Tribolium castaneum: one gene and its partners. The protein of the gene in region 1 interacts with the protein of each later gene in a pairwise test. Links are inferred from orthologs where the notes say so. Each region holds a gene or a part of one and is shown in the gene's direction. Other genes may lie near its edges.

The links.
Region 2: the proteins of Rab6 (region 1) and Tmf interact in a two-hybrid assay, tested with the Drosophila melanogaster proteins (2 studies listed by BioGRID). The link is inferred for Tribolium castaneum from reciprocal best matches to the Drosophila melanogaster genes Rab6 and Tmf.
Region 3: the proteins of Rab6 (region 1) and Golgin97 interact in a two-hybrid assay, tested with the Drosophila melanogaster proteins (2 studies listed by BioGRID). The link is inferred for Tribolium castaneum from reciprocal best matches to the Drosophila melanogaster genes Rab6 and Golgin97.
Region 4: the proteins of Rab6 (region 1) and Evi5 interact in a two-hybrid assay, tested with the Drosophila melanogaster proteins (2 studies listed by BioGRID). The link is inferred for Tribolium castaneum from reciprocal best matches to the Drosophila melanogaster genes Rab6 and Evi5.
Region 5: the proteins of Rab6 (region 1) and BicD interact in a two-hybrid assay, tested with the Drosophila melanogaster proteins (3 studies listed by BioGRID). The link is inferred for Tribolium castaneum from reciprocal best matches to the Drosophila melanogaster genes Rab6 and BicD.

Annotation. Positions count from the first base shown.
Region 1 is NC_087403.1:1,773,705-1,779,971, forward strand, and holds Rab6 (ras-related protein Rab6), read left to right. Parts: upstream 1-2,584; 5' UTR 2,585-2,730; coding exon 2,731-2,800; intron 2,801-3,066; coding exon 3,067-3,125; intron 3,126-3,521; coding exon 3,522-3,681; intron 3,682-3,729; coding exon 3,730-3,935; intron 3,936-3,981; coding exon 3,982-4,048; intron 4,049-4,123; coding exon of another isoform or gene 4,124-4,191; exon of another isoform or gene 4,192-4,970; intron 4,971-5,047; coding exon 5,048-5,118; 3' UTR 5,119-5,575; downstream 5,576-6,267. Other genes in the region: beta-arrestin-1, read right to left, coding at 728-817. UniProt on the Drosophila melanogaster protein: Protein transport. Regulator of membrane traffic from the Golgi apparatus towards the endoplasmic reticulum (ER). Mediates membrane trafficking during egg chamber growth and organization, possibly upstream of exocyst component Sec5.
Region 2 is NC_087394.1:35,285,223-35,291,568, forward strand, and holds the end of Tmf (TATA element modulatory factor), read left to right. Parts: intron 1-473; coding exon 474-1,913; intron 1,914-2,930; coding exon 2,931-3,249; intron 3,250-3,300; coding exon 3,301-3,562; intron 3,563-3,614; coding exon 3,615-4,051; intron 4,052-4,096; coding exon 4,097-4,480; 3' UTR 4,481-4,732; downstream 4,733-6,346. Other genes in the region: uncharacterized Golgi apparatus membrane protein-like protein CG5021, read right to left, coding at 5,177-5,380, 5,430-5,555, 5,629-5,863, 5,913-5,986, 6,042-6,056.
Region 3 is NC_087398.1:7,123,862-7,130,167, reverse strand, and holds the start of Golgin97 (golgin subfamily A member 1), read left to right. Parts: upstream 1-2,909; 5' UTR 2,910-3,131; coding exon 3,132-3,507; intron 3,508-3,555; coding exon 3,556-3,773; intron 3,774-3,983; coding exon 3,984-4,244; intron 4,245-4,296; coding exon 4,297-4,542; intron 4,543-4,816; coding exon 4,817-5,260; intron 5,261-6,306.
Region 4 is NC_087394.1:12,670,841-12,676,386, forward strand, and holds part of Evi5 (ecotropic viral integration site 5 ortholog), read left to right. Parts: intron 1-1,565; coding exon 1,566-1,667; intron 1,668-1,824; coding exon of another isoform or gene 1,825-1,874; intron 1,875-5,546. UniProt on the Drosophila melanogaster protein: Functions as a GTPase-activating protein (GAP). During border cell migration in the ovary, acts as a GAP for Rab11 and is necessary for the maintenance of active receptor tyrosine kinases at the leading edge.
Region 5 is NC_087396.1:19,858,399-19,863,764, forward strand, and holds the end of BicD (protein bicaudal D), read left to right. Parts: intron 1-23; coding exon 24-1,365; intron 1,366-2,901; coding exon 2,902-3,129; intron 3,130-3,178; coding exon 3,179-3,433; intron 3,434-3,479; coding exon 3,480-3,730; 3' UTR 3,731-4,866; downstream 4,867-5,366. UniProt on the Drosophila melanogaster protein: This protein is essential for differentiation. It may play a role in localizing of Nanos (a maternal determinant) activity in oocytes. Functions redundantly with BicDR.

The DNA of each region.
Region 1 (6,267 bases):
TTATTCAGCGACAATTACAGTACATTCTTTAAACACCTTAGAATCGCAATTCTGGGCCTGGGAGCTGGTTAAACATCAGGCGCAATGCTAAATCAACAATATTTATATTTATTTACACCATAAAATTTTATTTTTAAATATTTGCCCGATTGCGCCCGATTTAACGACTTCATTTAATCTTAGAAAAAATATTGTATACAACTTTCGGTTTCAACAACTAATGAAACAACATTCCGCGCAGTCACACTTATTTAGGAATTATCATCGCTATTACACTGTAATTAACAATAATTTTAATGGTGTTTAACAAGTCCAAATGACTCCCAGTATCGTCGAAACTCTTCTTAGTTCGCTCGCTATCTTGTGTATTTGATAAATATTAGGTAATTGCGATAATGTATCGATTCAATGAAACCGTCAAAAGTGATTCGTTGAAGTGGAATTCCCGGGTTTGGTCCCGGCTGACGATTATTCGATTTGATGCAGGAGTCTGATATGTGATAGAAAAGTAATTTTTCCCTCCTGCTTTATTTCCATAAAGGCCGACTTGCTGATGAACCAATATAAAGAGCAATCAAAGAGTCGATATTACATCACGTGCTGGTGTAACGAGGTGATCAGTTCACTCGAATTTCGTTTATACGGCCAATCAGGTGCAAGCTTAAACGATATTTTCTGAGCAATTAGCCTGATCTTTGATTAAAAAGCCGAAAACCACACAACTCACCTCTTTGTCAATTTCATTGTGGCCCATCCGAGCATTGTACAAATTCGAAAACCAGCTCTGGACCGACGCGAAAAAATTACTCCTACGCATTTTAACCGAAATTTAAAAAAATCATTTTGACGGACCTGAAACGACACTCTGAATCAAGTTCGGTTAGTTGCAAACAAAATGTTAATTGCCACACGGAGGGTTCGCCCGCTTTGACGAACTTTTCGATTGATTTCGATGAAAATTTAAGATCGGACTGATTAAAATTGAATTAATGGCCTTTGGGAAATAACCGGGTTGTGGGTTTTGGGCCTTTTTACTTAATGTGCTTCGGTCAGAGATAATTCTCCGCTCTTTCACTCTCATAAATATTATAAATCAATTTCGGGCTAAACATGACTTGATGAAAAGATAGCTGAAATTAATTTGGAAAGTTTAAAACAAAACGCCGGTGTTGATTAGCGAAGTTTGAGACTTCGCAGAGTATCGTTTGTTATATTTATTCGAGATGTCAAAGAGGACTGACTTTAAAGGGAAATATGATTCACCTAAGTAATTGCAGGAGACTTTTCCGAGTGAACTCAACTCCTCATCTCCTATGATTCAGAGCCGAGGTTGTTTAAAGGTGGGCACTGGAGCCGTATCTTGTACAATATTATCTTTATTTGCCTATTAAACACACACATATAATCTGGCAAGGTATAGGTATCAATAAAATTTGCCCTTACAACTCCCGAGCCAATCGAAACGTAGTCTTCAAGTTAATCTAATATCTTTATGAGGTTTAATTGACTACAAGGGGCCCCTCTGCGTCATAAAAACCGATGTGATTTCTGAAATACGTGAGATAATTTTTATCAATCCAGCTCGCAAAAACAGCCACACGAATGCCCTCCAATCCCGAATCAATTTCCTAGACCGTCCTGGCCTAATTAAAAGGGATCTGTTTACGAACGGCCCATTAATTTAATGGCACATAAATCCAAAACCAAATCTCGAAATTCCACCGCAGCCAAAATTTTGCAGGTTATTAAATCCTCTCACACAACTCGTCACAGCCACACAACAAAAATAACCCTCCCGACCTTCAAACCCAAAAACTGATCCCAAAAACCACCGATTTTCACTTACGTGTACAGTATTTTCCTGGAAGTGCCTAAAATTTAACTCTACACGTCCAATGCACACCAACAGAACTGCACTATGCGAGGAGGCGCCCCAGGGAGGGTGGACTTCGGGCACCGGGACCAACCGGTGAATAACCACAAATTTACGATTTCACAACCCCAAACAATTCGATGGTCTTCCCATTGGAACACCTTGGGCCTTGTCCAACTTCCCAACTGTGAAAACTGGGGAGTGGAGTAGGGATATAAAGCAACTGAAGCGCATGCTGATTCAGACCTGCCAACCGACCATCATGGGCACGCACACCCAGGACGCCGCCACGACGTGGGGCCCCGGCCCCGGCGCCCGAAAGGGCCGCCTCCAAGCAAAAAACCAAAATTTTGACCAAAGACTGCGGAAACAAAACCAGATTTTGAACTTGTAGCCAACTTAATACACCCGTTTAGGGGAATTTCGTGGCAATGCCACGCGCACCAATTTCAAACCCAAGCTTGCAATTTTGAATTTGAAAGTTATTAAGCTACAAATTGGCACCGAATTGTTAATTACGAGCATTTTTGGCCCGGACTGGCATTGTGAACGTTTTTGTCCCGATTTGTTTTTTCGCGCAAAGTGCGGGTGGATTAAATGGGCTTTTTTGCGGGTTAGTTTCACGAATCGGATCAGTTTTTTGGGGCCTGATTATTAGTCCAATGTAAAATATTTATGATTTTAATTTTTTTGGTCACTCCCAAATGTAACATGCGCAGTGTTGCAGTCACTTCGAGTCGCTACCGTGGCGTATTCTGTCATTGGTTTAGTCGGTACAGTTCGTTTTCCTGTGATATTTTACTGTGAAATTCGCAATTTGCAGGGTTTTTAAAAGAATCGTTAAGTTTTTAACAAAAATGTCGACGTCAGGAGACTTTGGTAATCCCTTGCGAAAATTTAAACTAGTTTTCTTAGGAGAACAAAGTGGTGAGTGTTGACGTTTCTTGATGAGTTGTAAACTTTCAAGCAGACCCGTGAAAAGATCAATAAAAGTCATGTTTCGCAACATTCCTCCTATTTGTTTTATAATTAATCGATTGGCAAACGCTGGACGAGGCTTCATTTTTCATATCGATTTTCCCGACTTGACCACTCGTCATCCTACATGACAGATCATTTCTAGGTTATGTTTTGATAAAACTGATAACTTTTTATTCAGTGATCAAGCGCCCCAATTGATTGTTCTTTTCCAGTTGGCAAAACGTCGCTAATAACAAGGTTTATGTACGACAGCTTCGATAACACCTACCAGGTGAGTCCCACGGACCATTATCACCCAAATGTAATATTAAACCGCAATTACGCTCGGGGGTAGCGCCGTAAATTCCGCAAAATCGCCAAAAATTAAGATGTAATTAGATTCGCCGCCCCAGCCACGAGCCCGGTTTTAATTAAAACGAAATTTGCTAGGGCTCTAATTACGATTTAAAAGTTTATTGATCGAGTTCCGCGAACATCCCTAAATAAGTTATACCGGCTACCGGTGGTAAGTATTTACAAATCGTAAAAAATAATCGATACGGTGGGCCGGGCGATTTCGATTGTCGTCCCACACACACCTACTTCTATTTCGCTTGTATTTGGAATTTGATAAGTTTTGCGGTTTTGTAAGTCAAGGTGAAGGTGTTTGTGAAACTGTGTTTTGTAGGCGACTATAGGAATTGATTTCTTATCAAAAACAATGTACCTCGAGGACAGGACCGTACGGTTGCAGTTGTGGGACACAGCCGGCCAGGAGCGATTTAGGTCGTTAATACCCTCGTACATTCGTGATTCGACCGTTGCTGTCGTAGTTTATGACATAACAAGTTTGTATGAGTTTCGGGGAAAGACCGGCGGTAATGAGAGATTTGCAGATGCCAACTCCTTTCATCAAACTTCTAAATGGATCGACGACGTGCGGACGGAGCGAGGCAGCGACGTTATTATAATGCTCGTCGGCAATAAAACAGACCTTTCTGACAAAAGGCAGGTCAGCACGGAGGAAGGCGAGCGGAAGGCGAAGGAGCTGAACGTCATGTTTATTGAAACTAGTGCGAAAGCTGGATATAATGTTAAACAGGTACATTGCTCCCGCGGTCTCGCTGTTTATTGAATTTGTTGTTTAGTTGTTTAGACGTGTGGCCGCCGCGCTGCCGGGGATGGACTCGACGGAAAACAAACCACCAGAAGACAGTATCCTTTCGCCAGTGCATGCGCATGATTTTATTTTGCACAATTTTCTTTTATTTTCCTTAATGTTTTTCTTAGTGCAAGAGGTCGTGTTAAAAGACACACCGAACGAAGTTAAAGACCCAGACGGAGGCTGTGCATGCTAAACAACTTTTTTACTTATCAATATTTGTGTAGACCTTACAAATATGACAAATTCTGGAGCGACTGACCATAAGTTGTACATATTGTCGAATCGGGGTTTGTCCTCTTAATTAAAGTATTGCCTTAATTGCTTAGAAACTATCGTAATATTATTTATGTGTAAAATATAATTGGTTTAGATATTCTTCGTTACATTTATCGATCAGTTTTATTCAGTTGATACAACGTTTACTAATATGGTGCTTATTTACAAACTAATCGAGAAGGACGCCGTTTATTTGGCTCAATTATCGGACATTCATGAAACATATCACATAGTTTAAGCCATTGATAATCGGTTCAAATAAATGTTGACTGTCGCCGTGCCTGAGCAAATCAAACCAACTCATCGGTTTATGTGTCGACCTGCAATATGATATCCACGATATTATGTAAGCTCAATTTGTGATGACGAAATTAGTGTTAGCACATTCCTTCAAACTGCGGATAAATCATTTTAGTGTCATAACGCACAATGAGATTGGCCCAGCTTTAATCCATTACAGAGAACAGCTTGCATGTTAGTCCGCTGCTTGCTAATTAGTTCCTTCTGTACATATTGACCCAGCAATATTGGATGTTTATACTTTTTTTAATATAGTAAAACGGTGTGTAATCTTAATTGCATTCTCAATCCAGGGGCTAGTCGCAGACGAGCTCCAAATGGGTACAAAGCGGTGCGATTAGTTTTAGGTTTATTGTAGTAATTTATTGACAAGCATTTAATAAAGTTTTTCGTAATGTGGATTGTATGATTTGCCTCAGCATGATTGTAGTGCATGTGCGAGTCTGGCCAGGTTTTCCTTAACAACGGCGCAGCGGTGGACTTACAAACGCAGCCTCAGCTTCAAAACGACCAACATGACTCAGAAGGGGGCTGTATGTGCTGAAAACCTAGATCTAATTGTTCAACAAACCAATTTAGTTTAACTAACAACCAAAGTAGCCTCTGCCTATGTTGACGTTGAAAAGCTATAAGTGTGACTTTATTTGCAATTGGCACTTTATGTGTGGCATGGAACATCCACCGTTACAATTAATTGCATTTCATGTAACAAGACTTTAAACTGTGTACGAGGTGATCTCTCATTTTTCTATCAAATCATTTTGCTTATTCTTTTCTTGTCGGTTTTAAGCTCAATCGTGTTAACATATATGGACATGTAAATCAAATTATAGCTTGGCATTGATGATGTATCATTGCACTTAATATTACAATAATTACAAAAGTCTGATGTACATAAACCCTCATTTCGGGATGCTATGGCAACTTCCTCAGCTGACATTCTGTTTGTTACGTTGTTATGTACCATTCAGTTTTTATCAAAAATAAATACATTTTAAAAAGACTCTCCTTAAATAACCCTGCTAACGCATTCACCTTCCAACCGTTTCTTCTTAGGCCTGTTTAATATTTTTTAAAGTAAAAATTCAGCCATCATGAACTGTGACTAAGTAAACTAAAGATGAAGCTAAAAATTAAAATAAGTGTCTTTCACAAACACACACATGGCTATCCAGTGAGCGGGAAAATTACAGAATAACGTTTTAAACTGGAAATAATTTGTTTAGACAAAAATGGAAACCCCCTAATTGTAATAATTTTCATGTAACATGAGAGATAGAATAACATTCCAAAAAATCAAAAGTGAGATTATGCAGACGTCCCTTAGCTGTAAGCCGTAACGGCTTCACCATACCGAAGACGTTCATTATTCAAAATACAAAGTGTTGCTGTTCTAAATAAAGTTAAGCATTTTGTATTTTTTTAAAAGAAAATTGACCTGTTCGAGCATTTTTGCTAAAAAAGCTCGCATAGTACAAAATACATAGGGGAAAAGATACAAATAATTAAGAGAAAAATATAAAGAAATGCCGATTTTTCTCATTTTCTATATTAAAGCGAATAGTAAATTATCTTATACATTCGCAATTTCAAATATTACCAGTGATTCACTTGACAAGTGAAATAATGAGTAATTTTGCTGAGGAGCAAAATAAAAGTCCTGTATTGCCGTTATTTCGCAGTTATTGCATTT
Region 2 (6,346 bases), on another chromosome or scaffold:
CCTGACCTATGTTTTTATTATTTTGTTGTTATACCTAAATCAAATTCGACAGTTTACACCACATTTAATGTCAAACACTGCAGTCTTAAAAAATGTCATTTAATTTTGTAAAAAAAGCACTTTTTGTACTTTTGAATTATTCAAGTTCTCACGTGGTTTCTAAATTTAGATTAAAATTTTTTTTCTAAAAATGACAATTTAATAAGGCTTTTGATCTAGTCTCCTTGTATACAGAGAAGTACATTTAGGGGATTTTTGATGCATATCTTTATTATTATTTTTTTGAATCAATAACAATTCAGAGTATACTTTTCCAGAGATAAATCAGTGTGTTAATTGCCTTAAAAATATAAAAATCATTCAGAATAAAGAGAAGACGTCATTTTTTCGCCACATACATTTTTCGTTAATTTAATTTCATTTACAATTTCAACTTTCATTTTTCACACATATTTCAATATATGTTCTTTCAGCCCATGTGCGGAAAAGAACACTCCCGACAGCGTGGAAGTAATCCCCGAAGACCAAGAAGAGAGCGTCGCTGAAGACACAATGTCGTACACATCGATTTCCGAAAGCACCTCTGCCACAGTCCTCGACCAAGCATTCCTCCACCTCAAACCCCAAAAAATGCTAAAAGACACCTATAACACATCAATGCCCGAAAGCGACATTCCACTCAGTCCCGAAAAAAACCACACTTTCGCCGATGCAATCACAAGAGCACCCAGTCGAAGTGGCATGCATTTACCTCTAACACAAGTCAACCAAGTACTAATAGACACCCAGCCACAGAGCAGCAGACAGGACTTGTCCAACCTTTTGAAAAACACCAACATTATCGATATACCTCAGGAAGACAACGTGGAAGGACAAATCGAATCCTGTGATGAAGGTTCCCAATCTGACCGCACTGTAATAGCAAAAGACGGCGGAATGGACAGTAGTAGCGACACAAGTGTGACGGAAAATTCCGTTTATTTGAAAAATTTAATCGCTGATGCCATGACTGAAAAAAGCCCGGAAGTGCCCGATTGTGCAACGAAAACCAGCCATTTTATGGATTTGACTCAGAGTATGATCGACTCAAGTCAGGGAAATGTGGTTTTGGAGAACATTTCCATAAGTCAGTTGGATATGCCGCCTCGGGAAAATTCGCCAGTCAGTTCGGAAAGTCGCTCCGATTTGGTCAAAATCGGGTCTTCGGGACACACCTCTGGTGATGAATTGGAAACAACCACCTCATCAGATATTGAAATTATTTCAAGTCCGAACGGAGATTCGAGTAGTACGCAAAGTAGGCAAAGCCCAGCCAAGCAAACTTGCACGAAAAATAAATCAGACGGCACCAAAGTCGATCTTTTGTGCAAAATGACGATGAAAAAAGCCAAAGGCCACACTAGAGAATTGTCGGAAACTTCGAGCGTGAGCGATGATTCGCATTCATCCGAAGTTGATCGGCTTATCAAAAGGATTGCGGAAATGACCGAAATTTTGGAGTCCAGAGAATCGAAATTAATTGATATCAATAGGAGAAATGCCGAATTGCAAGAGTTGAACACCAACTTGCGACATCAGCTCGATTCGATGCTTACCAAGCAATTGGAAACTGCAGATTTGTCTCAAGTGACTGAAGAATATACCCAGCGTTTGTCCGCCTTAGAGAAAAAGTTTCAACAAGCAATTCGGGAAAAAGACACGCTGAGGAAACAACTGGAACAGAGCAAACAGGAGGCTGCCACTAGGCTCAGCAAAAGCGATTTGGACTCACTTATAAGCGAAAAAGATGAAATTATTAAGGAGTTGCGTGAGGAGGGGGAAAAGTTGTCCAAACAGCAGTTGCAACATTCGAATATTATCAAGAAGTTGAGGGCGAAAGAAAAGGAAAATGAGTCAACAATCAAACATTTAAAGTAAGTTTGCTCTGCGGGATGCAAAAAAATTGCAAATTATTCCAATCGTTTTTATATAAAATCATATGATCAAGCAAATAGATTATTTTAGTACAAATCTAAGAAAACACTACTTTTTAGGTGTTATCGAGATGTTATTCTTAAAAGTTCGAACTAAATAGTTATGCATAGCGTAGTAATTTAAAGTCGGTAACACACAAAAACGATATAAAATTAATAAACTAATAAAAAATTCAGTCGAAATTATTATGTTGAAAGGGGTTCCTGTGGTAAAATAAGAAAAGAAATTCTTATAGATCTATGTTCCGAATTTTTTTCTCCTGTTTGCTCTATTTTCTGTCTCCTGTTCCTTCTTTTTGGTTTAGCTTTTATTCCCTTCCTTTTGTACTATTTTTTATCTTCTATTCTGTATTCTAAGCTTTATTCTTTATCCGAAATCGGTATTGGCAAGAATATTTCTCTCTTCTTTCCTGTTCTTAGTCACGTATCTGCAACTTATCATCTTCTTTATTCTTTATCCAGTTTTGTTTGCCTTCCTTTCTCTGTTTTCTCAGTCAAAACATATGTCTACAGAAACTATATATGTCTACAGTTTTTTACCGTTTTTTTTTTTCACATGTACTGTTTTGTTCATTGTGGAACATTATATTTCTTTGACGAAATAATTGCTTTACCATCACCATAAGGACTTGACCAAATTTAAAAAAACAGAACATTTAGCTGTTTTTTTATTGCTATATAGTGTAAGAGTACTGTCCTGGGTAGAATAGTACCGTTGGTCACCTCATTGTAACATTTAGTTTTGGTAAAAAGTAAAAGTAAAAAGTCAAAAAAGTTCTTTCTCTTTGGGAAGCTTACAAATTTTTTAAATTAATTTAAATTCAACCTGCCAACCATTCGTTCATAGCTGTTTTGCTTATTTACTTACTATGTAGAAAAAAACTTGTATGTAACTGTTTTTTAACGCTTGCACACGACGTTGTTTTGCTCACTTACGGTGAAAATAATTATTTCCAGAGAAACAATTGAGGACTTGTCGTCTGAAGCTGACCGTTTAAAGCGTTCACTAACCGCAAAAGAGGAAGTTGAAAGGTCGCAAATCGAAGCAGTTCACCAGCTAACAGCAAAAAATAAAAAACTAGAAACTGAAGTTGATAAATTCCGAAGTCAGCTCGACGACCTCACACAAAAGTATGACACCGTGAAGAAGTCTTTAGACGCTGCGAAAAAAGAACTCGTCGACAAGAACAAGACTAGTTCTGAGTTAATCGCACGCGAGCATAAATTGGAGAGTTTAGAGAACGAAAAAAAGCAAACGGAGTCACAAAACGCAGCGGTATTTCGTGATAATTAACGCTTTTTGTTTAATACTTGTGCCCAATTTTAGATTCTTAACGAACTGGAGGAACTACGGTCAAAAATGCGACAACTCGATTTAGACTACGCGAAAAAAGAACAGTCGCTACGTAAAGAAAACAACGATCTTTTGAGGCGTTTGGAGGACGCTGAGGCCAGAAACGAAGAATTATCACAATCCGTTCTTGAAGTTAGTAAGCCTTTGGTGAGACAATTGGAGTCGTTACAAGCAACACATACGATGAAAATCGCCAGTTTTGAAAGAATTGAACAAGAAATGACGCTTAAAATAAGTAAAGTTGTAGTGTTTGCCTAATTTTTGTTTTGTGACTTGTATTGTTTCAGATGAGTTGCAAACTAGATTACAGACGTCCCTTAACTCAGAACGGACGGTCAAAGACGAGTCTGTGACTCTAAAAACTAGACTTTCAGATTTGGAATCGGAACTAAGTTCGCTTAAGCACCAAAACGAGCTGCTTCGAGTGGAAGTGGAGCAGAATAAAACCGAAAAACAAATCTCCGAACAGGAGTTAGGTCGTGAAATTAACGAATTGAAGGAACAGTTAGTGTCTGAGAGACACAAAGTGGCCGAGTTGGCGCAAAACGCGTCCAGTTTGCAAGAACAGCTGGAGAAATCAGCGAGTGAATCCGAGCGCAAGAAAAGCACTGAAGATGCGCCAAATTTGGGCCGAAACTCGCCGCGCACTGCGAGCAATTCGCCAACTTTAAGTCTGGGGAAAATTTCCGTGGCGGAATCGCTTGGAAGCTCGTTTTGGTCGCAGGTGAGGTGCGATTTTTTTTTAGCTTGTGTTGTATTTTTTTCCTAGGATGAGCCCTTTGACGGGGGACAACCGCCAAGGTACACCAACATGTTCGAGATGCAAATGCTTCAAACCAACTTGAAACAGCGCGACGGTGAATTGCAACAATTGCAGTGGGAGTTGAACCGGAGGGAACAAGAGAGGGCGCTCTTGAATAAAGAAATCTCGTCGCTTTTGACCCGTGTTGAGGAACTTGAAACCAAAGTCCAGGAATACGATGTTTTAAAAGGACAACATAGTGAGCTACAGCAACAGTATGATACTCTTTGCCAGTTGTTTGGCGAGAAAGTTGAAGAAAACGAAGAACTGAAGCTTGATTTGCAAGACGTGAAAGAGATGTACAAAAGTCAGATTGATGAGTTGTTGAAACAGCAAAAACAGAACTTGTAAAGTTATTATTATCCAGCGTGTACAGAGATGCTTTTATATGAATTTTTATTGATTAGATAAGAGATTAAAGTGTTTGTTGTTCTATTGCGGTTTTTATCATATGGGAATATTACGTTATCAGTTAACACATGCTGATATTTGGTGTTTTGTCATGGTAAGGAATATACTTCACTTAAAATTTAACCTGTGATATAAATTATAGCCTCTTCAAATTATTGTACAAAATTCCAACTGAAATAAATGTTGTGTTTACGCCAACTTGTTTCATTTCAAACTTCCCGCCGTGGGCAACTGTCAATGTGCAAAAGCACCAAAAACGTGATTGTTGTGCCAGAAACGTACTAAAAATTGATAACTGTGCAAATTTAACACGTTCCGGAACCGTTTCATGTTCAGTGAGTTTAAATTATTCATAATTTTACACATTATGTATTTATCAAAGTGCCGTTTCTTTTTAATTGTTCATTTGCGCCGATTTCTCCATAGCTCTAGTGGCGCAATTGGTTAGCGCACGGTACTTATAAGACAGTAGTCGTGAGCAATGCCGGGGTTGTGAGTTCGAGCCTCACCTAGAGCACTTTTTTTTTCAATAATTTTCTTTGTCTTTTAACGAGGAACGATAAAATAAGCGAATTAGTAGGTGTGGAATTAAGTTTAATTATCACAATACTTTATAAATAAAGGAGGGTCGATTTATTAAATAGTGTTAGATGGCTGGCTCATGGGATTTGCTTGAGGGGCGGTAGCCTCACGTGTAACAAGTGATACAGCATTTTGTAAAACTTGTTTCCTGAGAAAATTTGTGGTTGCGGAACTTAAGCTCTCACTTGAACCCACTTTACATTTAAAATACCCATAGAAATTGGCCCCATTTAAAGCCAACGCTATCATTATGAGCAGCTAAAACAAAATTAATGAAACCCAGCTTTTGGAGGAACGGAAACATTACCATCCACTTTAGTTTTAGCCAAAACAAAGCAGTTATGAAAAACACGCCCCACAACAGGGGGGTTATAACCAAAGCCATCCAAAATATTCTCGCTTCTCGCTCGTTTACACGGTTCTGCCACCGGCCCTGAAATGGGCCAAATGTTGATTCAGTAAACAAAGCAAAAAAGCCAAATGAAAAGTTAAGCAAGCAGTTAAACCTTGCGTGATTCAAAGACCCAGTGCGACTTTCCGTCATCGTCCACGTAATTCCACCATCGCAAGCCAACCATCAGACGGCCTGTTATGTTTTTGACTGTCCAAAAGTCCATCGATAATAATAAAACTACCGTTACAAAACTTGCGATAAAACTATCACTGAACCATTCGCACAACAAGTACGTTACTATAGACGCCCCCCGAAAGGCCAAGTGGAAAAATGTGACATAAGGGTGTCTGAAAGAGACAGTAGGAATAGTTTTTCGGGTAGTGGCCTCACACTTACGTCAGGGACCCCTTGACACCACTATCACCTAAATCATCACCGAATGCTACTGTGTCATCCTCCAATAAAGGCAACTGAAATCATTTTGATTTAAATTAAGGCAAATTTAATGTTTTGAGCTGTTTTTACCGTCGCTGATGACATGTTTACGGCTAATAAATTACAAATGTCAACGCGACAGCTGTCAAGTCTCTGCTCGCGGGACCGAAACGTTATCAAACCGAAAGTCGTAATAAATTCCTTTTTGTAATAATAATGTGCCGAGTTTGTCACCAAAATGTGACTACGACTTGTCCTTTATCCTTGGAAAGATATGTGACTGAATTTTGTGGGCCAGAATTATTCGGGCGCAAACACAACGGTGGGGAGCTAGCGCTAAAACGAAATTCCCTGTTTCCGAAAATTAAATTTCAAAAAATGAAGCGTAACTTTTA
Region 3 (6,306 bases), on another chromosome or scaffold:
TTCTCCTCGATAGACACATACCTATAAACGGTATAAGCTGTCGTGAAAGAGGAGATGCTGTAAGAATAGATCGGATTGTACTCGGAATGAAAACGGGGAATGTTTTGCACTTATTTTTATTAATTCTGTAAATATTCTGAATCCAAGAATTATCATGAAGGCATAGTCGAATATTGGGGTGTTGAATTTGATAATTAAGACACAAACCGAACATGTTTACGATAACATTAAAGTTTTAATAGCGATCTCTAAATGAAAATCCATAATGGAGTGTTCAGATATTTTAGTAGACTTCGAACAATTAGGTGTATCTTTTTTATGTGCGTATAATAGTTGAGTACAGTTGGGGTATGCAAAATTTATTTGCTAATAATTTTTAAGACCTTTGCCATGCGCCAATTGGCTTGGTCCAGAAATGAAAAGCTATATTTTTGGGGTATCTAAAAACTAGGGAATTTATAAAGGTTTTTCCTGGTTTTTAAAGTAATTTTACTTGGAGTGTCGAGGATTTTAAGTCGCTTTAAGTTGTATTTCATTGATTTTTTCCATGCGCCAATAGGCTTGGTCCAGAAATGAAAAGCTGTTTTGAGGTGTGTGAAATCTAGACATTTTGACAATGGTTTTGAGGTAATTTTACTTGATTTTTGCATGCGCCAATTGGCTTGGTCCAGAAATGAAAAGCTATTTTTGGAGTGTCTAAAATCAAGGCATTTTGTAAGTTTTTTACATCTTTTTCGGATGGTTACTTTTGGGAAAACAGTAAATTTGTAGGATTCTACCCTGTTTTTCGTGTGCCCAACTTTTAGTGGCCTACACATATTTGGGAACTTTTGGGGTGGATAAAAATTAATGATTTTTGAGAGGTTTTAGGCCCTATTCGGTTGTTTGCTTTTGGACAAACAGCTAAATTTGTAAGGTTCTGACTTGTTTTTTAAGACGTCAAGTGTTCTGGCCCAGAAGTAACATTCTATACTCTACTATGCACACGTAACTTTTGGAGCACTATTACGTCATGTACTTCGATTCCCGATTTAAAAATGTGCAGTGCTATCTCGGTTCCTGATGGAGATACGGGAACACGACATATCCCATTCGATAGCGCAGGAAAAATAGTACGGTGTGTTGGGGTTTTCAAAAGGGCTGAACCACCCCTCTATCTCCAACAGAAACGAAGATATTTCGCATTTTGTGAATTGCAGATTTTCTTCAATTTTTATAAAAATTTTGATAAGTGAAGGAAAACTTAGGTAAAATTCTGCAAAATTTTAAAAATGGATTTCGTATCAGGATCATAGGAACACAAAGAGGTCTCGAAATTTTTGGCGGCGTTTGCACGCAACCAGTTATACTTATGCGTGTATTTTGAGTTATATATCTTTTCTCATTACCCTTTTGCGTTCCTGTGATCCTGATACGAAATCAATTTTTAAAATTTTACAAAATCGTTTCACTTCAACTAAAATTTTCTCACACTCTTAAAATTTTTATAAAAATTGAAGAAAATCTGCAATTCACGAAATGCCAAATATCTTCGTTCCTGTTGGAGATAGAGAGGTGGTTCTGCCCTTTTGAAAACCCCAACACACCGTACTACTGCCCCGAAGTATTTTTCCTGCGCTATCGAATGGGACAGGTCCCGTTCCCGTATCTTCATCAGGAACCGAGATAGCACTGCACATTTTTAAATCGGGAATCGAAGTACATGACGTAATAGTGCTCCAAAAGTTACGTGTGCATGCAAAATTTGAAGTTGCTACGACAACAGGAAGTGTTTTAATTTTAAGTTCAAAATATTTATAATTCCGAAAGACAACAAACAAAGCAAGTTGAATAAAAACTCTAATAAAAAAACTTCAGCTTTTTTGTTCATAGTCTTTATTTAATGCGATTTATTTGGAAACATATTTTGCGAGTTAATTTTGGGACACTTCCTGTTGTTGCAACTTGAAATTTTGCATGCACACGTAACTTTTGGAGCACTATTACGTCATGTACTTCGATTCCCAATTTAAAAATGTGCAGTGCTATCTCGGTTCTTGGTGGAGATACGGGAACGGGACCTAGCCTATTCGATAGCCCAGGAAAAATACTACAAGGCAGTGGGGTTTTCAAAAGGGCAGAACCACCCCTCCATCACTAACAGGAACGAAGATATTTCGCATTTTGTGAATTGCAAATTTTCTTAAAGTTTTTAAAAAATTTGGAAAGGTGAAAGAAAATTTAAATAGATTTTTAAAATTTTCAGTTTATTTTATAAAAAAATTATACAATAAAATAACAAAAACCGTAGGCGGCGACATCTAGATATTAAGTGTAAAAGTACAATTTTACAGTAACCTATAAAAAAAACATCTATGACTTTTTAAAAAGTAGTAAATTACAGTAACCTGTAAATTAATAAAAGTTTTAAATTATACAAAAAATTTAAAATAAACAAAATCTAGGCGACGACATCTAGACATTGGATATCAAAGTACAGTTTTACAGTAACCTATAAAATCTTCTGTGCTAACTATGGGCTGTTTTCTTAAACAGTAGATTACAGTGACCTGTAATACATTAAAAACAGTTTTAAAATTGCAATGGTAGTTTTCTTCTAAATGTTCTTAAAGCCTTGTTTTTCATATTTTTTTAAATAAACAAAAAAATTAAAAACAAAATTTAATATAAACTTTGAAAACAAACAAACAAAACATAAACGACGACATCTAAACATTGGGTATTAAAAGTACAGCTTTACAGTAACCTATAAAATTTTGTGTGCCATACCAAATTAAAAATTTAGAAAATTTTTGTTACAACTTTAGGTTGAGATTAGATTGCTGTTAAAAGCCGGACAGTTTTTGCATAGTTTTTGGCTCATTATTTTTATTGCAACTCGCTGACTAATTGCAGGACACGCACGCGATTGGTGTGCAAACGTCAGCGGTTGTTGTCACACCTGCCTGTCACCTGTCGGTGAACTACTAATAAAATTGTTAATTATTATCACAGTTATTATCAACAAATACGTGTAAATGCGCGTACCCGACCGTTTTGCCAATAGTTGTGTTCACATTTTCGAAAATTCTGCCACATTTTGCAAAACCAGTGCTCAATAATGCCCGTAAAATAGCTCCAGTGCGTGAAACATGTTTGCCTCTCTGAAAAACAAAATTCGGGAGGAAACTGGCAGCGACCTGTCGAAACTAACCGCGAAAATAACCTCCTCCACGGTCCAGAGAATAGACTCGTTAAGGGGGCGCTCGCACCAGGGCTCCTCCTCAAGCATCAACTCCCTCGTATCGTCGGACGGTGTTAAGGAGGATGGCCCTATCGATTCTGAAGAGCTACGCAAACGAATATTGAAAATCGAGGCTGAATTCACGCGGAAGTTGGATCAGAAGGAACTAGAATGGAGGGAAATAGTGGCCGAGAAGGACAAGCAGTTGCAAAGTCTGGAGAAGGAGAAAGAAGAGGCCCAAAAACAAATCCAGATGCTCAGAGAGACGCTGAAAAGCGCCGAAGGTTTGGGCGTGAAACGTGGAGATTGTCTCTAACCGCTTGTTTTAACAGAGTTCAAGCAGAAGTTGGTGGAGCACCAGGAGGACAAAGAGCAGATTGAAAACTTCCAAACTCAGGAATTAAGCAAAGTCAAACACTTGGTGTTACTGAGGGAGCAAGAGCTGGCCGAGAAGACGGCAGCCTTGAAGGAGGCCACCGCCCAGTTGGAGAAACTCCGCACTGAGGTGTCCCGACTCTGCCGCCAGGAGGAGCAATTAAGTGATTTACAGGTAATAACTCACTCATTTCTCAGCCGTTCCAAACTCCCCCGACGTGTATTGTGTCTCGAAATTAATTTTATGTTCAAGTGTTTTAATTTCCAACAGAGTTCGCACTTGTTTTATTTTATTTGGTGAGCTTCAGCAATCACAGGTATGTGCTTTTGGCTTTTGTGTTATATCGCTTTTTCCAGCACTGTTTTATTAACCGACCACTTTCAGGACGACTTGGAGTCGTTGAGACACTCCAGTTCGCGCGATTTGGCCGCTTTGGCCACCCAGTTGGCCAAAAGCGAGGAGGAAAGGCGTCATTTGTCCGACCTTGTTGTTGTTTTGAGACAGAGAGTGGCCAATGAGACCTCAGACGACGAACATGTCGCCTCTGAGAGGCGCCTGTTGGAGCAGAGGCTCGAAGAGGCGCATTTGCACCTAGCTGACATTAAGACCTCCTGGAGCGATAAAATCGCCTCGCTAGAGACCCAGGTTTTGGTTTTGACCAATGCCCTGTTTTTTGTATTTTAATTGTGACGACTAGGTGGGGCGCTTGAGCAGACAGGCGGCTGAAGAAGGCAGCGAGAGACGGCGGGCGGTGCAGGAGAAGGAAACCCTGGCCGAGAAAGTGCGGCAAATGGAAGCGGAATTAGAGTGTAATAAACTAGAAATTAATAATAAAGAGACGAAAATCAAGCGATTGACTTTGGATGTTGAAGAGTTGTCCAAGGAGCTGAACGCTCTGCGGTCTGAATCTGAAGAGGAAGTTGCGTTCCTCAGGACCCAACTTGTGAGTCGATAAATAACGGGGCTTTCACTTTATTTCACGTTTGCCGACACTTGTTATATTTATTTTGTATCAGTATCCCTGGGACCTAACATTCATTACTTAACACGCTTTGGTTTACTTGCCTTTATTTTATTTCGCTTTTGTTTTTATATTACGAAATAAATATTTTTCACGATACTTTGTATTTTTTTTAGTGCGGGTTAACCCTCTATGTGTATCCTCGCCCCATTTTTGTGCCAATGATTTTGTATTAATTCCGTGGATTCATTTCTAGCAAAATGCCCTTACAGAGGTGAAGGTCGTTCGCAAGAATCTGGAGAACACCGAAAGTGAGTTGGACAGGACCGGGGAAGAGTGTAGCAAATTGAAAATCTCGGTGGATTCGGAACATGAGGCGAACAGTTCGCTCAGGCTGATAATAACCAAGTTGGAGAAGGAACTTAGCGAAGAAAAGACGAATTCGTTGAATGTGCAGAAAACCTTGTCGAGGGTCACTGCTGAGAAAAATACGGCACTGTTGCGTAATGCTGAAGTTTCGCAACAGATGGAGATAATCAAGCAGGAGAAAAGGCGACAGGAGGGAGAAATGAACGACTTGCTTGGCAAACTGAGTCAATTAGAAGAGGAGAGTAGGAAACATAACGAGAGTAAAGCGATGGAACTGGAGTTGAGGAATAACATCGCGGAGTTGGAAGATCAAATATCGGAGAAAAATAAGGTAAAATTGAGACTGTGACAGAAAGCGTCTTTTTGATCAAGCGAAATTGTTTATGTTTCTATTTTAATCTATTTTATGGAGCTATAACGCGAAACGAGGAGCCCGATTTAAAATGTTTAAGAAAAGTGGTAAATTTCTATATTTATACAACCGTGATAACGTAAAAAATAAAGATAAAAATGTGTTTGTTTAATGTTCACGCCTTTTCGTTTAAATTTTTAAGCTTATAATGACAGTTTATCAATAACTCCCGAATTAAGAGGTTTGATAATTTGCTTTAATCTTTATGGACCAGTTAAATTCCCATTGAAGTTATTAATGTTTTGTGAAATTATTTAACAACAAAACAATGGAAGTATTACTTTATTTTAATGTGTGGGAAAAATAAATGGATTAAAATTGATTTGTTTTATTATCTATTATAACTAAGAGAAATGCTTCAGAATAACTCAGTTTTTTGTTGAGAAAAATTTATTGCAGTTGAGGAAGGCTTCAAGTTATTTTAAGTTAATTTTAAATCAACTTGTTCAGTACTTGGAAAAAATTGAGAATGCGTTATTATTTTTTAAACTACGGATACCTAAAGGTTAGGATATGAAATTAGGTACAAATAAAACGTTCTTTTCCTCCATAGTTTCTTTAATCAGTTGTTTCATTATCGTCTACTTATTCCTTCTTCAGAACAACGAATTTTAAAAAATGGTTGTATTTGTGTAATCGTTAACACATAGCAAAGAAAAAATACAAGCAGATAGAGCATTAAATTCTCAATAGAAAAAGATAAACATAATGCAAACATTTTATTGTAACAATATTTAAAAAAAATTCAAAAATATACCAATTTGCACTCAACCCCATATTTTTCAAAACGCTGCCAATACGTTTACAGATACAAGAAAAATGTTAAGAAAAAACTGTAGAAAATTAAATTTCCTACAAAAAAGTCAGCAAGACCATATGTCTTTTGTAGAAAAAATCTTTTTGTAGAAAATTTAATTCTCTACAACTTTGTTCTTTAAACTTCAAGCGTGTTACCAGCGTTCGCA
Region 4 (5,546 bases), on another chromosome or scaffold:
TAGAATTATTGGTGTGTGTTTAAACAGTGCGCCGTAACACAAGTTAATAAAATAAGAGACGCACTAAAAAATTAAACTTACTTGTTCAAAAAGGCGTTCGCTACTTTTGAATTTTTTAAGCAATTTTTAAATTTTTCAGACAGAAACACAATTTTTTACATTTTTCAAAAAGAAACGATTAAAAAATTAATGAAATGTAATTTAGATTAACTCAATTATTTTGAGAAATAATATTGCTAACCGAGCCAAAATTTTGGTAAACAATGACTTTTGGGCGTTTTTCTAGGTTTTACAGACAGAAACACCATTATTTTGAGAAATTTCGTAGAAAAATTTGCTGACAAAACGTCAAAACAAGCGTTTTGTAAAACTATGAGACGGAGCGCAAATATTCTATTTGTCGTGAAAATTTTAGTCATTAGTTTTTCTTAGTTTATCAAAAATTTCATTCTTTTTTTTCTTTTTTTCCTCGCCCCACTAATTTTTTTGATATAGAAAATAGTGCTATTTTGTACCTTGTTTAGTCTTCTAGTATTAGCTCTCCGTAAGTCAGACACATTATTTTTATGCTTTTTTGCAAGATTTCATTAAATAAATAAAAGTTAAAAACTACGTTAGTACGAGTTTTTCTAAAGTTTTAATTTGAACGTCTTATACATTTTCTTACCAATTTTTCGCATACGCTGTATGCAGTTACAGTTGAAACTGTCAGATATCTTATAGCTGGTCTTTATCCAATTAATTAATTGGATAATTATAACTCAATTATTCAAATATTTGAATACAAACTCAGTGGCGTCATCTGAAATATTTTAAAGTATACAGACTGTTGCAGAAATCCGTTATGCTACCGATTTTCTTTTTAAAATAAATAAGAATTTTGCAAAATGTTATACAGAAAAGTTGTTGTACTTGATGAGTTTTATTACCTTGTAAAATTAACAGACGTATTTTTGATATATCCTGTATATTTATTTATTCATTATTTCCTGAGAATCACGTATCTTATGGATTTTTTTGAATGAAACAATTTTGTACATTTTTGGATTTAGCTTTTGATTAGTTTTTCTTAAATCTTTAACAAAAACGCTGTTTTATTTTGTTTTTATTTATTACACAAACTGATAATAAAAGAAATTTTTATTATTTTTAAATGTTTTGTTTTTTTGAACTTTGCCTAACAAAAAGAAAAAGCGGTTTGATTTTCCACTGAAGGTAAAAATAATTTTGGGCAGTACAATGTATTAGCTATTTCAAAACTATAAAAACACCAACAAGATTGTTTAAATTGTAAAATAGTTATTAATGATTAGATCTCTCATTGAAAGTATAAATTACATCAGATATTATTTTTTTGAAGTGCATAAATAATTTATAACAGTTAATTTTGAGAGATTATGCGACGTTAGCGTTTTTATAGTTTAGGAACAGCTAATATAGTATATATTTTACAAATTGTTAAATAAAATACTTCACCAACTCGCTGTATATTTGTGTACGTTTCTATTTTGCATTTATTTGCTCTTATTGTGGCGGCTTGAAGTTATTGGATTGTTTGATTGCAGAGCCAGGAAATTGCCACCGAAGGCGAGCTTCGAATCCAGTCGGTCGACGATAGCGATCGAGTTAGAGAATTGCAAGATAAAGTGGCTGATCTTCAAGCCGAGGTGAGTTAATTCGTGTGATTGGGTTGCTGGATGGTTTTATCACACACACGATGTGAAAGAAAAAAGCACTCGCTTTTGCTTCTTCATCATACTAACGTGTACAAAAAATTGCTTCACTGGGGGGTTAATATAGTGTGTGCTAATGATATTTATTTAGTTTCCCACGCCTATCACTAGTCCGGATACTGAGCCGTGGAAGTGGCTCGAGTAAGTGAAATCTGATGTAGCTTTTGGAGTAGTTTGGATGTGGTTGGGGTGTTTGCATGCTTGGTGTAAGCTCGATATCGATGTAATTATTGTACTTTTATTCATTTTAATAATTATGTCCTACCTTTAATTTTTCGTGTCGAAAAAGTCTGAACAAATGTATTATGAAGTGCTCTGTTGGTACAATTTTTAATATTGTAAAATGAATGAATAAAAAGGAAAATTATTAAATTGCGTCATCTCTCATTTGAGATGGGAAACAAACATAAATCTTTACCTTTAAAGTATTTTATACATATTTGTTAATTTCTTGACCTTTTTCATAACAGTTTTATTTAAAAAAGAATATAATTAAACGATTTCTGTCTCTATTGTTTAGTTACGTTCATTATCTTCTTTATTTATTGTAAAAAACACGTAATTAGCTTCAAATACATTTCGGTTTGATTATGTTGTTCCAGGTAAATTGGCTTCGATAAGGCAAATAAGTAGTTAATTAGCCACTGGAGCTTTTTGTTAAAGACACCAAATACATGACTTTTTTCTGCTGTTTTTTTTTTCAAATACATTTCTATTTGTTTGACGGAAAAAAGATACGTAGTCACATTGAAAAATTATTAGACGACAAAAAAATTGCGCTAAATTATTGTTTTCCACTTTAAACATGTTACATATCATTTATGTAATCAGTGAATAATTTTTCTGCAAATTTATTTAAAGAAACTGAGAGTTTTTAGAAATTTACGAATATATAGTTTTTAACATAAATAACAATTTTTTATTTTTACAATGAAAACAGAAAACATACAAAGAAATCAATTTTTCACGCCAATAAATGCAAATGGGCTGTTGCAAAATTCTACCAAGAACTGAAATGGGATATAATACGTCTTTTTATATAAATCGTTGATTTTACTTAGAATTACAAATCAAATTTATTAATTTTAAAAATTAAAATAAATTTAATCACAATAATTTGCCACCAAACATTATAATTCGGTTTAAAACACTAAAAATCATAAAAAAGAAGAATTATTTAACTAAAAATATGTGGGTTTGAATTATTTGGGTTCATTTTAAAAGTAAAAAGGTCTCGTTGTTATTTTTATTTTATTTTAATGGTATCAGTTTCATGTTTCTTTTATGTTGACCTTGCTAACATGCGGCATTATTACTATAGAGCCGAAATAAGCTGAAGAATTATACTGATAACACGAAAAAAAATAAATAGAAATGAAATTCTACATTCAAGCATTTATTTATTGATCGATTAGTAAAGATTAATGGACTCATTCTAGACTACATTTCAAGAGAGTTTACTTCTTTTTTTAAAGATTTTTTTGCACATCAATCCACGGTTTTCTGGAAATGCGTTTGAAGTTAATTAAAATTCAGAACTGTTTTCTTCTTCTTTAGTTAAGACCCTCGTGGTGCTAAACATAAAAATTCAAGGTTAAAAAGCATTTAAATTTTTCAATCGCATCGATATCTTTTTTTCTGAAAAATTATTAATTTTTAAATAACTTTTCCCATTTCGTTTCCGAATTACCCTTAAGTCCCTGTTCACCTGGTTAATTTAAACTTAAAACTGAAGGGGTTAATGGATGAAGAGGCTATGTGCCTAAAACTATTTTTTACACTACGCGCTTTCATGGTTTACTAAGTTAGGACATTATTAAATAATATTATATAATATTAAATAATTATTTAATAACATTATATAATATTAAATAATTGTTTTGTTCAATAAAAAAATAACTAGTTCCAGTTAGAATTAAGTTAGATGTGTAGTTCATTGTTTTATCCATAAATTTTGAGTATGATTTTTTTTTAAATAAAGAAATTACATCTACCTGCACAAGCTTAATTAATTTTAATATTTGTAGATTAATTCTTATCGAAAATAAAATAACTATGAGTTTAGGATGATTATTGGTAATTGAGAATAGGGCTTCAACCATTTTTTTCCTTTAAAGCAATTTTAAACTTAAAAAAAAATTATATAAAAGTACATGTTTGGCATGTACCACATCAAACTATAAAATGATTACACAGCGTATTTCTTCTTCTGGCATCGAAACAAACTTAAAACGCCGCCAAGTGCTTCCAAAAATAAAAGAATTCATTTTTGTAGAATATTTGTCATTTTCTTTAGCAGCAATAACGAGCTCGTAATGAATTCAAGTAGTATGTTTTTGAGCTCTAAGAACTTTAGAAAGCATATTCTAATCGTTTTCAATGTAGTTTATGTCGAAAAAAACCAAGCAGGTCAGGTTAAACGAGCTTTCTATGGGATGAGTGCACAAAAACCCTTATGAAATGAGTATTTAACCTTTTTTATACTTTGCGCATCCTTTTTTCTTATTTTAATTAATTTAAGTTTTGTCGTCTAGGGAATTTTGTGTCAGTTGTTAATGGTAAAAAATAATAAATAAAGAAGAAATGATGATTAAATCGATGTACTTGTATTGTATTCCACGCATTATCGATGAAACTTTTAAAAGCTAAATATCCCTAAATTCGTTAAAGTACACTGTACTTCAATGAGCCTACTGATATATACTGATTATAAACACAAAGTATAAAAATAAATTTTGTAATACCTTGTCCATAGCTTCTTTAGCAATAACTAACTCGAAATGTTTTAGAAAAATACAAAATATCGTGTTAAGCCTATTTTAATTAAAATATACAAAAATCTAACATGGAACCTTTCTTTATGTTTATGTCCATACTGTTCTAAGATTATCGGTAAACAAATTTAAGTTAGAATAAAAAAATGAATTTTTGATAAGACATTTTAGACCTTTATATAAGAAGAAAAAAAATTCTCAAATGATTTTCTGGTAGTTTCGAGCTTTTTTATCTTTCCATCAACTGAAACCGTTTTTAAGTAACGTAAATTGAATGAAGAAACACAAGAAATATTGAATTTTGAGAAATTAAAAAAATATTATGAAAAAACATCATCATAGCTAAAAACCGAAGGCCAATATAGATTCAGAAAAATTTAAATCTTTTATAATCATACTAATTATATTTAAAAGAGGATTTGTTGCAGAACAGTGTTATCTGTCATTATGAAATATATGTTTGCATTATTGAATAAATTATAAACTAAAGATATGAATTTTGATACATTCCTATGCCTCGCGATTGCAAAGTTTAATTAGTTGTAATAAAATTTAACGACGTGTTGCAACTTTTCGTTTAAATAATAAACATCATCAGGCTAAGAAACATAAATTTTAAAAATACAATACAGGGGGTGTTCGCGAAGTTGAGGCGTTCCTTTTAACACGAGACACTATGCCTTATTCTTAAGAGTTTTAGCTTAAATCGTTTTAATAAAATGTTTTTAATAACGGAGATAATTTTGAAATAGTATATTTATACAAAAATAAAACTATTTGTAGAAGAATAATTTTACATTTTGTGCAGGTACGTCAACTGTTGAGTATTTACATACCTAATATTTACACAATTTACTCAATAAATTCACCTTACTTTACTCTAGGCAAATTTTTTTTCTAAAATATAATTTATCTAGTCCACTGCAGTAGTAGGAAGTTAGAAAAATTAATAAATCGATTTTGGGACATCGTCTTAGATAATTTTTGATAGTTAATTTGAAAAGGTCTCCACAAGCAGAATTCAAGAGAATTCTAATAG
Region 5 (5,366 bases), on another chromosome or scaffold:
TTTATTATCTTTTTGTTTTATAGGCCTTGGCAAAGTTCCAATCTAGTCATAAAGTAACAACTAAAACTGGAATAGAAACGGAAGAATCCCTGCTATCTGAATCCGCCGCGCGCGAAACATCGCTCAATTCCCAAATAATCGAATTGGAAAACGAAATAAAGCAGCTGCGTCATGAGTTGGACCGCGTCACCACCGAGCGAGACCGCATGCTGCAGGAGAACACCGATATGGGCAAAGACAAGGAAGATCGAAGCATGGAGTGCAAGAAATTACGAACGGAACTCCGCGAAATCAAATTTCGAGAAAATCGTTTGATCAACGACTACGCCGAGCTAGAAGAAGAGAACATAGCCTTACAAAAACAAGTCTCAGCTTTAAAAAGCTCGCAAGTGGAGTTTGAAAGTCTAAAACACGAGATCCGGCGACTGCACGAAGAAATGGAACTGTTGAACCTCCAGGTGGAAGAGCTGACAAACTTGAAGAAAATCGCCGAGAAACACATGGAGGAGGCCTTGGAGTCGCTGCAAGCCGAACGTGAGGCCAAATACGCGCTGAAGAAGGAACTGGACCAACATATTAACCGAGACACGTTCTACAATATCAATAATCTGGCGTACAGTATTCGGGGAATGAGCGATGAGCCGACTTTGGGGAGTGACGGTGAGGACGATATTCCCGGCTTGAAGCGGCTGGAGGCGACTTTGGGGAGTGGAAGTGCCTCAGAATTGGCTTCGCCTGACGATAAACAGGTCGATTTGTTCTCCGAAGTCCACTTGAACGAACTGAGAAAGTTGGAAAAGCAGTTGGAACAACTGGAGAAGGAAAAACTAACTCTGACACAAAATTTGCGCGATAACCAGGCAATGGTGGAGAAGAGTCAAGGCGAACTACAAGTTTTCATTGCAAGACTGACACAACTGGCGGCTCATGTCGATTCTTTGCAGCATTTGTCGCAGAATGTTGACAAAAATGTATCCCAACCGGCACAAGAGGCTGGTAAAATTCTAAATCAGTACCAGCAGTGGTTCAAAATGTCCTGTAAAGAGATCGAACAGCTGAAGCAGGATATTCGTGAATTGGAGAAGTTGACGAATATCTCAGACGCTACCCTACAGCTGCGCACCGAAATCACGAATTTGAAAAATAAGTTGTCGGATACGGAGCAGAGGAGTATGGACTTGGAGGCCGATTTGAAATTGTTGAGAGAGTTTGCTAGTGAAGCTGGAACTTCATTGGATGAAACTCAGAATAATTTACAAACTGTTACTGATGAGCTTGCTCAGTTGTACCATCATGTGTGTACTGTTAACGGGGAGACGCCCACGAGAGTGGTTTTGGATCACGAGAAGGAAGGAATGACGCCTAGTAAGTGGCTTAGTTGTATAAAACTAAGAGGCGAAACGGTATTAAAAATTTTCGTACTCAAAAATATTTCGTTTCGGCACCAAATTGTTTTAAAGTAATTGAATCCCTTAAATCCTGACCTCTTGTTATTTAAAATTAAATTATGAGAGATAACTTTGACCGAAAATTAAGTTGAGTTTTTTTTTCTATGTATACCAGTAATAATAATTCTTGCAAAAAGTGCGTTTTTCTTACGAAAAATTAGACACGAGAAACGAGACTTCAAGCAGTTTTAAATTAATTAAAATTCAACTATTATTTTCATCAATTGCTTGAAAAAAAAGGGAAGGCTGTGGAGAATCAAATTCATAATAAGCTGAAAAAAACTGATGACTAAAATTCCGATACAATAAACTCTTATATGGCGTTTTCATCCAAACTATAGCATAACTCGTTCTTTTGAGCCAGAATATGGCGTTTTCAGTCTGTTGACTCATTTCTAAGCAAAGAATCTTTCGAAATAAGCCGTTTTCATCTAAATTAAAACATAATTTGTTCTTTTGAGTTAGAATATGGCGTTTTCAGTGTGTTTTATGAAGTTTTCTCCGTTCTAAGTAAAGAATCGTTTGAAATAAACCATTTTCATCCAAACTATTACTTAACTTTCTATTTTAAGTCAAAATATGTCGTTTTCAATCTGTTTTGTGTAAGTTTGCTTACTTCTAAGCAATAAATCGGCTAAAATAAGCCGTTTGTAGGCATTTTAATTTTCTATAATTTTGTCCTTTACACTTATTAAGCTTCTCTACGAGTATAATGTTAAAAAAATTATCTTTTATAAAGTCGTTTTACACTTTAGTTCGTTACATTTATGTTTAATTGAAATAAATAAAAAATAATTCTTTTATCGTTATGATTACGTATTATGTTTAATCACAAATTCGAAAAATTTGTTCGAAATAGAATACATTTAGTTATCTCTGCGTAATTTCATCCAACCAGTTATTTAATTCAGCCGGTTCACTATTTATTTGGAAAAAAAGAAAGCTAACGACTAAAATTTTCCATGGAAAACATGAGAAAAAAATGATAAACTAGTAGAGTTAAAAATACAATTACTAGAAAATAAAAATAATAAAATCTTTTTTAAAAAAAGTCTTGGCCACCATAAGATGATTCGTTATCGGGGAGAAGCAATTTAAATCAAAAGCGTCAAAGATGAGATATGTGTTCTTTACACGTTTTTTGTTATGAAAAATAAAGTTCAGAGCCAATAATAATAATAATTGCTAATTTGTAGTTTTTAAAATATTTATCTGGTTGAATTTTTGTAATAATAATCATTATTTATTTATTGTATTAAGGATTGGCTTATAGAAGAATTAATTTAATCCGCAATTAAATTGCTGATTAACTGATCACGTAAGCAGATGCTTTCATTCACGAATTTAATGTTTTATCGGACTTCAATTTTTTGTCTCATTTTTATTTAAATTCGGCCTTTTTATGTAATTAAAATGTCGAGGCCAGGTCACGGTTTAAATTTCTGATTTTCAGTGTCGGAAACTGCGCCACCAATTGGCGAAATGTCCAAAATCGAATTGTTGCGAAGCCGCCTCAAGAGCGACATTCCCTTGCACGATCTTGAAGTCTTAAATGACGCGGCTGTTGTCGCTCGAAATGTTTGCACCATCGTGGACCAAATCAAACATCTCCGAAACGCCATTGAAAATACCATCGAATTATCGAAAACAAAGAGGGAAAAATCGAATGGATTATATGAATGTGAGTTAGGTAAAAAAACAGTCAGTCATTTTGTAACACTTTTTATTAGCAAGCAAAGATGAAAACAGCGAAGAAATCGCCGAATTACAAGAGCAAGTCATAAGATTGAAGAGTTTGCTGTCGACCAAACGCGAACAGATTGCCACGTTACGAACCGTCCTAAAATCAAACAAAAATACTGCCGAAGTGGCACTGACGAACCTCAAAGCCAAGTACGAAAACGAGAAAACAATTGTATCCGAGACGATGATGAAGCTCCGAAACGAGTTGCGAATGTTGAAGGAGGACGCAGCCACATTTTCAAGTAAGGTGGATTTGGTTCAGTTTAAATTTTACGAAAATTATTAAAGGTTTGCGTGCGATGTTTGCCGCCCGTTGCGAAGAGTACGTGACGCAAGTCGACGAGCTCCAGCAGCAGTTGAGCGCAGCCGAAGAAGAGAAGAAGACTTTGAACCAGCTGTTGAGATTAGCCGTTCAGCAAAAGCTGGGTCTGACTCAGCGGCTCGAAGAGCTGGAGGTGGACAGAGAAATCAGAAACGCACGTAAGCCAAACAACCGCAATTTTCAGCGCCCTGGACGGTCGAACAGAGACATGTTCTAGCGCAGGTCGAAACCTGTGGTTTACGCGATTGCATTTATCACCACATTCTTTAAACTTTGAAATTTCTAACACTACACTTTAATCGGCTATAACGTAACGAATTGTGACAATTCACAAAAATTCAAGTATTTTATTGTTTATTTAACGAAATGTGAGGTAAACTGTGCATTTATGTGTTTGGTTTGGCGACTTTTTATGCATACTCAGACTAATTTATTCTACTTGTATTGGCTAGTACTAATTTTCGGTTTAGTAAAGTGGCCAATTAGCTGCCAAAAGTTTCGTAATTCAGATTTAGTTATAGATTACGTTCAAGTAGCATTTCTAAGGTATATCTCTTGATTAATAGTGGAATATTATGACGGTAGAGTAGCCTATACTTGGATTTAATTATGAAATGATATATTTATTGGTAGATGTGACCCATATTTCGTGTGATGTATAGACTTTAACCATGTTTTAGTTATTAACATATTTATTTAGTCTACTTAGTCCTACAAGGGATTCATGCAATATACGTTAGTTAGTCATTCTTTGGTGGTGTGAACTAAAATAATATTCGATAAACCGCTAGTCTTCGAGACTGGTCACGGTGGCGCTACGCTCGAGGGCATTTCGTCTCGAGAAAAATTAAAAACTGCGTACATTTATTTTCTAACTGTGGTACTAAAATCTAATTGTTACGGTTTATAAAAAATAGTTAAAACTTGTTAAGACGTAGGCTAAGAATAATATTGTGAAGTGACGGCGAATTGCCGTCATTCTAATAGTAAATATGATATCACAATTCGTCTTTTCCGTTGGTTCTGAGTCCATATGATAATCATGAAATGACGTTTGTTGATTATTTGTCCTGTTTCCGAGCCTATGGACCACGGAAATGCCCGTCCCTTACAATAATATAAAAATCCTTAATGTTGAGAATGAAATGTGCATGCTCTAACACTTATATTTTTGTTACTTGGTACACGTACCAACAGAAACTTAGATCTTCTGTTTGTTTCGTTCGTCAGACAGCTAACCTGTTATATTCTTTTTGATATTTATTGTTATAAATTATTTTAACATTGCTTATATGTGGTTAATGTTACTTAATTGTACCTAATATTTTTAATATAATTATTACTTTATCACAAGGACCGTTATTGCACCCATGGGAATGTACAAAAAAACATGCGTAGAAAAGATATATTTATTCTATATTTTCAAAGAAATCACAAAAAATATAGTTCCTCTTATTACAGTACGTTTGCGTGAATTTTAATATTTTTTATTAAACAGCATACAAAAGAAAATGTAAACATGAAACAGACATGAGTAAATATAAATAAGTCACGTGAAATGATATGATACCTCCTAGTAGAGAAACAGAGAGTAATAATTTACTGTGAAGTTGGAAGAGCTACTTTACGATTGAAGTGTCTTTCGCAAATTTGTCATTCTGCGTATTTACATAATAGATGTACAAACTATTGTGCAAAATGACTAACATATTTACAATATACATTACATAAGTTTGCTATTTATCTATTGATACACACACTTCATAAACAGCAATAGTTCCACAATAATAAAACTGGAAGTGGTAGTAATGAAGATTTTATTAGAAAGTATAAAAACAAAACTGAGAACACAA